Xenopus tropicalis: one gene and its partner. Each later gene encodes a partner of the first gene's protein in a complex. Links are inferred from orthologs where the notes say so. Each region holds a gene or a part of one and is shown on either strand. Other genes may lie near its edges.

The links.
Region 2: the proteins of mep1a (region 1) and fetuin-B are in contact, whole or in part, in a cryo-EM structure (PDB 7UAI), measured with the Homo sapiens proteins. The link is inferred for Xenopus tropicalis from reciprocal best matches to the Homo sapiens genes MEP1A and FETUB. Residues at the interface, in NP_005579.2 of Homo sapiens: Asp126, Gly127, Cys128, Trp129, Ser130, Glu131, Val132, Gln145, Gly146, Cys147, Tyr149, Ile152, His155, Glu156, His159, Tyr164, His165, Gln167, Ser168, Leu184, Gly186, Tyr187, His189, Asn190, Asp192, Tyr194, Tyr214, Gln215, Phe217, Ser218; in NP_001362516.1 of Homo sapiens: Phe109, Phe110, Lys144, Lys145, Tyr148, Met149, Thr150, Cys151, Pro152, Asp153, Cys154, Pro155, Ser156, Ser157, Ile158, Ser196, Ser197, Gln198, Trp199, Val200, Val201, Gly202, Tyr205, Phe206, Thr242, His245, Trp246, Phe249, Val250, Ser251.

Annotation. Positions count from the first base shown.
Region 1 is NC_030681.2:146,900,981-146,904,387, reverse strand, and holds part of mep1a (meprin A subunit alpha precursor), read left to right. Parts: intron 1-32; coding exon 33-248; intron 249-1,546; coding exon 1,547-2,017; intron 2,018-2,669; coding exon 2,670-2,843; intron 2,844-3,407.
Region 2 is NC_030677.2:1,142,096-1,146,495, reverse strand, and holds the start of fetuin-B, read left to right. Parts: upstream 1-1,426; 5' UTR 1,427-1,807; coding exon 1,808-2,008; intron 2,009-2,303; coding exon 2,304-2,432; intron 2,433-2,772; coding exon 2,773-2,860; intron 2,861-4,277; coding exon 4,278-4,400. UniProt on the Homo sapiens protein: Protease inhibitor required for egg fertilization.

The DNA of each region.
Region 1 (3,407 bases):
TGTTCTAATCACCCTTTGCTCTTCCTTTCCAGATGCTGGCTACTTCATGCACTTCGACACCCACTCTGGCCCCATTGGCAGCACTGCCCTCCTCGAGTCCCGGATCCTGTACCCCAAGCGATCCGAGCAGTGCTTGCAGTTCTTCTACAAGATGGATGGAAGTTCCCAGGACAGACTAGTGATCTGGCTAAAGACAGATGATGGTGCCGGAAATGTTAGAAAGATGAGGAAACTTCACACCATTTATGGTACTGTCAGCACTAAAATGGGGCACTTTAATGTTTCTGGGCCACATTGATGAAGTGTCCTTGTGGTAGCAGGATGCCACCCTTACACCAGTATCAATACATAACTGCTAGAAATGCTAGCCAAAATTTGGGGCTAGAGGTGGGGTCTGAACATTTCTGGCTGTATGTTGGGTGGGTTAAAGGAACAGTTCAGCGTAAAAATGAAACTGGGTAAAGACTGCGCAAAATAAAAAATATTTGTAATATAGTTAGTTGGGCAAAAATGTAATCTATAAAGGCTGGAGTGAGTAGATGTCTAACATAATAGCCAGAAGACTGCTTCCCCCTTTACAGCTCTCTAAGCTGTTAGCAGGCAGTAGCCAACCAGTGACTTGAGGGAGGGCCATATGGGACATAACTGTCAGTTAGTTTGTATTTGAATCTGTCCCATATGGACCCCCTCAAGTACTGATTGGTTCTGGCTTTTATCGTAGACATCTGCCCACTCCAGCCTTTATGGATTACATTTTTGCCTAACTAACTATATTGAAAACTTCTTTTATTTTGCGCAGTCTGTCTATTTATCCCGTTTTCATTTTTACACTGAACTGTTCCTTTAAGGGCATGGTCCTTTTTCAGGAGGATGTATGATTTATATATAGTGAGTTCCACTAAGCCCTGGGTTATGCTTAATGACTACCTCTCTGCTGAACATAATATAGATATATGTTTTCGGAAAAGATAATCAATTTACTAACTTTTTAATACGCACTGAAGAGCATATCTACTTATCTTGACCCGTATATACAGCACCGAATCAGCAGTTAATCAGAGTTAATGAGCATTCCATATCTGTTAATAAACAAATCATTAAGGTTGAGGAGACTGCCGCATACAGATACAAATGAACAAAAGGAATTCTGGGAAATGAATTCCAAGCTCCTAAAAAAAACATGGTTTTATCCTATAGGCTAAAGCTCACCCACTGCCTATAGGATAAACCCATGTAAATGGGATTTTTTATTAGGAGTTTGGAATTCATTCCCAGAATTCCTTTTGTTCATATATAGATTGTAAGCTCTACAGGGCAGGGACCTCCATCCTCTTGTGTCTTTGACTCTTAACTTATTGCAACTGTACCTTGTATTTATCTGTATTTATTGTTATACTTTGTATTTATCTATTATCTTATTAACCCCCTGTTTGTATTAATGTATCCTACTGTACAGCGCTGCGTATATAAGTAGCACTTTATAAATAAACATATACATACATATCTGTTAATAGTAATATAACCTTCAGACTTTTTCTCTTTTTAGGTGATAGTGACCGAAGCTGGAAAATTGCTCACGTGACCCTCAACGCCAATAAAAAGTTCCGCTACGTCTTCCAAGGAATCCACGGTAATAACAAGACCAGCGGCGGTATATCCCTCGATGATATCAGCCTCACTGAAACCCCATGCCCCAATACTGTATGGCGCGTGAAGGATTTCTCCAAAATCCTGGAAAGCACAACTAAAGGAGATCGTATAATGAGCAATCCTTTCTACAGCCCCGAGGGGTACGCCTATGGCATAACCATTTACCCCCATGGACAAGCATCATCGCCCTATGTCAACTACACGGGGATCTCGTTCCACATGATCAGCGGAGAGGACGATGATGTCATGGAATGGCCGGCCTTGAACAGACAGGCGATCATCACAGTGCTCGACCAGGACCCCAATGTACAGCACAGGATGTCGTCCAGCAGGAGTTTCACAACCCTGAGTTCTCAAATCATAGAATGTAAGCTCCTTAGGTTCAGACGTCACCAAAATTGCTGTTACTAAGCGGCCCCCCAGTTGCTAGGTTATGGGGGGGGGGAAGTGGGAAGAGCAGGGATCAGTTTCTATCTGGGAAAGATATGTGACCCACCATTGTCAGAGGAGACCCTGTTCCAAATAAGCTCTTAGTGCCATTAACGATTTCCCCAAAGTTGTAAAAGGGAAACTGTGTACTAAATGAATGAGTACTAGAACCAGAGTTGCTTTATATCATATAAAGAGCCTATTATAGAATCTAGCCAAACTGGAATATATATATCAGTAAATATTGCCCTTTTACATCCTTTCCCTTGAGCCGCCATTTTGTGATGGGCTGTGTGTTCCCTCAGAGATCAGCTGACAGGAAGTGATGCTGCTCTAACTGTAACAGGAAGTAGTGTGGGAGCAAAAGGCTGAACTCCGGCCCATTCATTGGCTGATGGGGCCTAGCATGTATGTGTGCCTTGGCTTGTTTGTGTGCACTGTGACTCCTATGATCCCAGGGGGCGGCCCTTAGTACTTAAAATGGCAGTTTCCTATTTAGGATTACCCAATGGCACATACTTCAGGGACAGTCATACATTTGCGCTTCTGTGCCGAAATTTTTTGAATAAGCTTTCTGTGTTTCTGTGCAGCAATGAATAACATATCACGCTGGGAAAGGCCTTCCCTCATTGGAACGTTCGATCCTACGTGTGACTGCTACAGAACCCCTGACTTTGGCTGGAGCACCTTTATATCCCACAGCCAGTTGCACAGGAGGAACTTCCTGAAGAACGACGATCTGATCCTGTTTTTGGAATTCGAAGGTATGTTTCTATTTATGTAAGAAAAAAATGGTGCCTATAGTAGCAGTGGGGGGATAATAGCCTCTGGGGCTGGGGCTGTGGGATAGCAGGTATAGTAGGGAGAGATGGTGCCTATAGTAGCAGTGGGGGGATAATAGCCTCTGGGAAGGGACTGGGGCTGTGGGATAGCAGGTATAGTAGGGAGAGATGGTGCCTATAGTAGCAGTGGGATAATAGCCTCTGGGAAGGGACTGGGGCTGTGGGATAGCAGGTATAGTAGGGAGAGATGGTGCCTATAGTAGCAGTGGGATAATAGCCTCTGGGAAGGGACTGGGGCTGTGGGATAGCAGGTATAGTAGGGAGAGATGGTGCCTATAGTAGCAGTGGGGGGATAATAGCCTCTGGGAAGGGACTGGGGCTGTGGGATAGCAGGTATAGTAGGGAGAGATGGTGCCTATAGTAGCAGTGGGATAATAGCCTCTGGGAAGGGACTGGGGCTGTGGGATAGCAGGTATAGTAGGGAGAGATGGTGCCTATAGTAGCAGTGGGATAATAGCCTCTGGGAAGGGACTGGGGCTGTGGGAT
Region 2 (4,400 bases), on another chromosome or scaffold:
TGCTTGTCAGCTTTGTGGGTTTCACCCCCCAAAACAGTGGAACCAAATTATAAAAGAAACCTGTGTGAGAGGTTTTTTTGGAATCTGTTGGGGGGGTGGGGGCAGGGAATAGATAGAAGCCATATATGTTACATGTTACTCCTTGTAGAGTGTAAGCTCTTTTGGGCAGGGCTCTCTTCCCCTCCTGTATCGGTTACTGATTGCTTTATATGTTACTCCTTGTAGAGTGTAAGCTCTTTTGGGCAGGGCTCCCTTCCCCTCCTGTATCGGTTACTGATTGCTTTATATGTTACTCCTTGTAGATTGTAAGCTCTTTTGGGCAGGGCTCCCTTCCCCTCCTGTATCGGTTACTGATTGCTTTATATGTTACTCCTTGTAGAGTGTAAGCTCTTTTGGGCAGGGCTCTCTTCCCCTCCTGTATCGGTTACTGGTTGCTTTATATGTTACTCCTTGTAGAGTGTAAGCTCTTTTGGGCAGGGCTCCCTTCCCCTCCTGTATCGGTTACTGATTGCTTTATATGTTACTCCTTGTAGAGTGTAAGCTCTTTTGGGCAGGGATCCCTTCCCCTCCTGTATCGGTTACTGATTGCTTTATATGTTACTCCTTGTAGATTGTAAGCTCTTTTGGGCAGGGCTCTCTTCCCCTCTTGTATCGGTTATTGATTGCTTTATATGTTACTCCTTGTAGATTGTAAGCTCTTTTGGGCAGGGATCCCTTCCCCTCCTGTATCGGTTACTGATTGCTTTATATGTTACTCCTTGTAGATTGTAAGCTCTTTTGGGCAGGGCTCTCTTCCCCTCTTGTATCGGTTATTGATTGCTTTATATGTTACTCCTTGTAGATTGTAAGCTCTTTTGGGCAGGGCTCTCTTCCCCTCTTGTATCGGTTACTGATTGCTTTATATGTTACTCCTTGTAGATTGTAAGCTCTTTTGGGCAGGGCTCTCTTCCCCTCTTGTATCGGTTATTGATTGCTTTATATGTTACTCCTTGTAGAGTGTAAGCTCTTTTGGGCAGGGCTTTCTTCACCTCTTGTATCGGTTATTGATTGCTTTATATGTTACTCCTTGTAGAGTGTAAGCTCTTTTGGGCAGGGCTTTCTTCACCTCTTGTATCGGTTATTGATTGCTTTATATGTTACTCCTTGTAGACTGTAAGCTCTTTTGGGCAGGGCTCTCTTCCCCTCCTGTATCGGTTACTGATTGCTTTATATGTTACTCTGTATGTCCAATGTATGTAACCCACTTATTGTACAGCGCTGCGGGATATGTTGGCGCTTTATAAATAAATGTTAATAATAATAATAATAATAAAGCCATATGTATTGTATGTATAGATTGGCAGGGGTTCTGCTGCTTGCCCATTGCATCTCCTGGTCTGGCACAAACTGCTAATATGTCTATGCCCAAGGAATATATCACCACTGATACTTTATGACCAACTGAAACCTTATGTTGATAATGTCCATCTGCATGGTTGGAACAATCCAATAAGAGTTACCCAGTTACCCTCACTGGAATGAATGGGTAGGGAAGCCCCTGCGGTTTGATGGCTGATGAGCTAAGAACAAACAAAGGCCAATGGAATCTGCTGAAACACAAACAGTAGTAGATAGTAGTAAGAACAGGGTGTTGCTACTGAGGACCCTGACCTGTTGCCCTTTTGTTATTTTAGCAACTCAGCCCCCACGTACTCATTAACCTTTTATATGAGACTGTGCAAAGAGACCCCCCTCTCCATCCCAGAGTGCAACACTATATAATTCCATCCCCAGGAGGAGACGGTATCAGCAGTTGAGTGAGGACACAATGGAGCGGCTGTGTATCCTGGTTCTGTGTGTGCTGGTTCCCCTGTGCCGGGCTGAGAGCCCACTATCGCCTGTTGTGAGCCCAATAGACTGCAATGCTACTGAGTTTGAAGCAGGGGTAGCGCTGGACTTGATCAATGAGGATCGGCGCACTGGTTTTGTCTTCAAACCCCTCCATGTAGTTGAGGCGCAGGAGCAGGAGGTAAGTGCCCTTGGGGTCCCTTTAAGATAAATATGACATCAACCTTGGTTCATTTGGGGGTTTATTACAGCAATGGTTATGCACATTGTTTGTACTTTTATCATCTGCCCCCTTAAGGGAACCCCTGGGACACCCCAGCACACTCCTACTGCCCCCCAGTTGTATTGAACCTAGAACCCCAGCACCAAGCTCCCCACTGGCCCACAGATAGACAGAGAGAGATCCAGATTACAGACAGATAAAGGAACAAGTATTCATTGCATAATATGATACTAAGAACTGTTTCTGGATTCAGGTCCAGTCCCATTTATACCCAGCGAGTACCATATATTACCTGACCATAGACGTCCTGGAAACCACCTGTTCTGTCCTGAGTGGGAAATCATGGAAAGATTGCAGTGAGCCTTCCTCCTTCCATTTGTGGGTAAGTTGCACTATGGCACCACTGTTCTTCCCAACCCTCTGCCCAGCTGCCCCCCTACGGCTACTGAAGTCACAGAGGACTAGTGGCCAAATGCTTGAGACTAATAATGAGCTGCACTTACTTACACATGATGATGGGTCCAGGGGACCTGATTGTCCCACCTCTACTGGCCAGCCAGCTCAATGCCATACAACTGCTTTATTATTGTACATGTGATTGGACTCCAAGACTTGCCCCCCCCCATTTCCCAGATGCCACACTGCTCAGATATGTATATATTCTATATAAATGGAAGGAGTAAGTAGGAGGTACAGCTACTTATGTCTATTTTGTGCCGTAGGTGTTTGGCCAGTGTAAGGCTATTATTCTCCTATCCCTACCCTGGAGGGTACAGAAGCTGCTGAACTACAACTGCACCACTGCGTCAGGTACAGACTGGGCTCACAGGTGCCCATTCCCTCCTACATGTTGTTCTTATTTCTATTTAAGTCACTAGAAAGACAATGGGTGTTGCCCCCACTCTGGGTTTTTCATTGTCTTCTGTGCTCTGTCCAACTCTATGTCAATTGACTCCACCAAAGCAGCAATATGGAAGCTCCAATCAAAAGTATGAAATCATATATACAGAGTGCCCCTGCTCTAATAGCACACAGTGACCAATCAGATGCTTGGTGTCAAACAGGTGCCTGCAGGTTGGTTCCTATGGGTTACTAGATGTGGTGCAAATTTTTTGGGGCATTTATTACATTTCCATGTCAGTACTAAAGAGAAAAATGAGACAATCTACTGAGTTGTGAGACCTCCCAAATACCCTGTGACCTCCATTTGCTTCCCCCATGCAATATACTAATAGGGCGATGGAACATCATTAGTATTTTAGTGAGTGACTGATACTTACCCCAAGGTGAGTTCTCTAACACTTTAATACAAATGCTAAAGGTTGTTCAAGTACATAGAAGACATATAGCCATGGTTGCCCTAGGCACAATCCCTCTCCTACCTAACTCAATGCTCATTGAAATCTATAGTTATCAATGGGCTACAGGAACCAGAGATATTCGAGTATAAATATCTGTTGGTTACATGAAATGGCGCCCCCTTAGCCCAAGTAATTTGGAAGTGATGACCTGTAGTCTATGTGGGTTATTCCCTAGAGGTGCAGGTAAAACCCAGTGAGACTAAGAACTGCTAAGTGAATGTTTATTTGTTCTTTGGTACACCGAAGGGTTAACTGTTGGGTAACTATGTTTTTAATGGATCCTGACCTTTTGTGGCCACAAAGTTGTGCTTTCAAAGGGTAGTTCACCTTTCATTTAACTTGTATGAAGTAGACAGAACTATTCTGAGACAGTTTGCAATTGGTCTTCATGTAAGTAAAGGAAGGGAATGATGGATCTCCCTTAGTCTTGGGGTGGGTGTTTCTCTAAGAGCTGGGGGACAGGTAGGAACCATGCACAGGTTAACAAAGGGGATGGGACCTAGAGAGTGGGGATTGGCCAATTCAGGGAAGGATCCAATGGTGAGGCAATGCAGTAGCAAAAGGCCATTATGGCTTGGTAGCCAATAGCCTCAGCTCAACAGATTGTAGTGGGGTAAGTGGCCCTTTACATGCTCTACAAAGCATCCAGCATCAGGGCAGCTCCTTAGGAGCAAGTGCAGTGTGTGAAAGTGAGTGTAAATGTAGCAAGTGGGGCTGATTCTCTACATTGCCCTCATACCATGCCCCAGGCCCAGTCCCATCACCAGACCTTCACATGGAAGTTATTTCATCCCATCCCTACATGTTCCTCCCAGTTAGAAACCAGCAATGGAAATTCTGATGTTGTTTTGCTCCAATCTTCCCAGTTCCTGCCAGCGCCATCCTCCAGACCTGCCCCGACTGCCCAACCCCCACATGGGAAATCAGCCCTAAAACAAGGAAAATGGCCGACAAACTGCTTGGGGACTTCAACAAGGAGAGCAACAGCA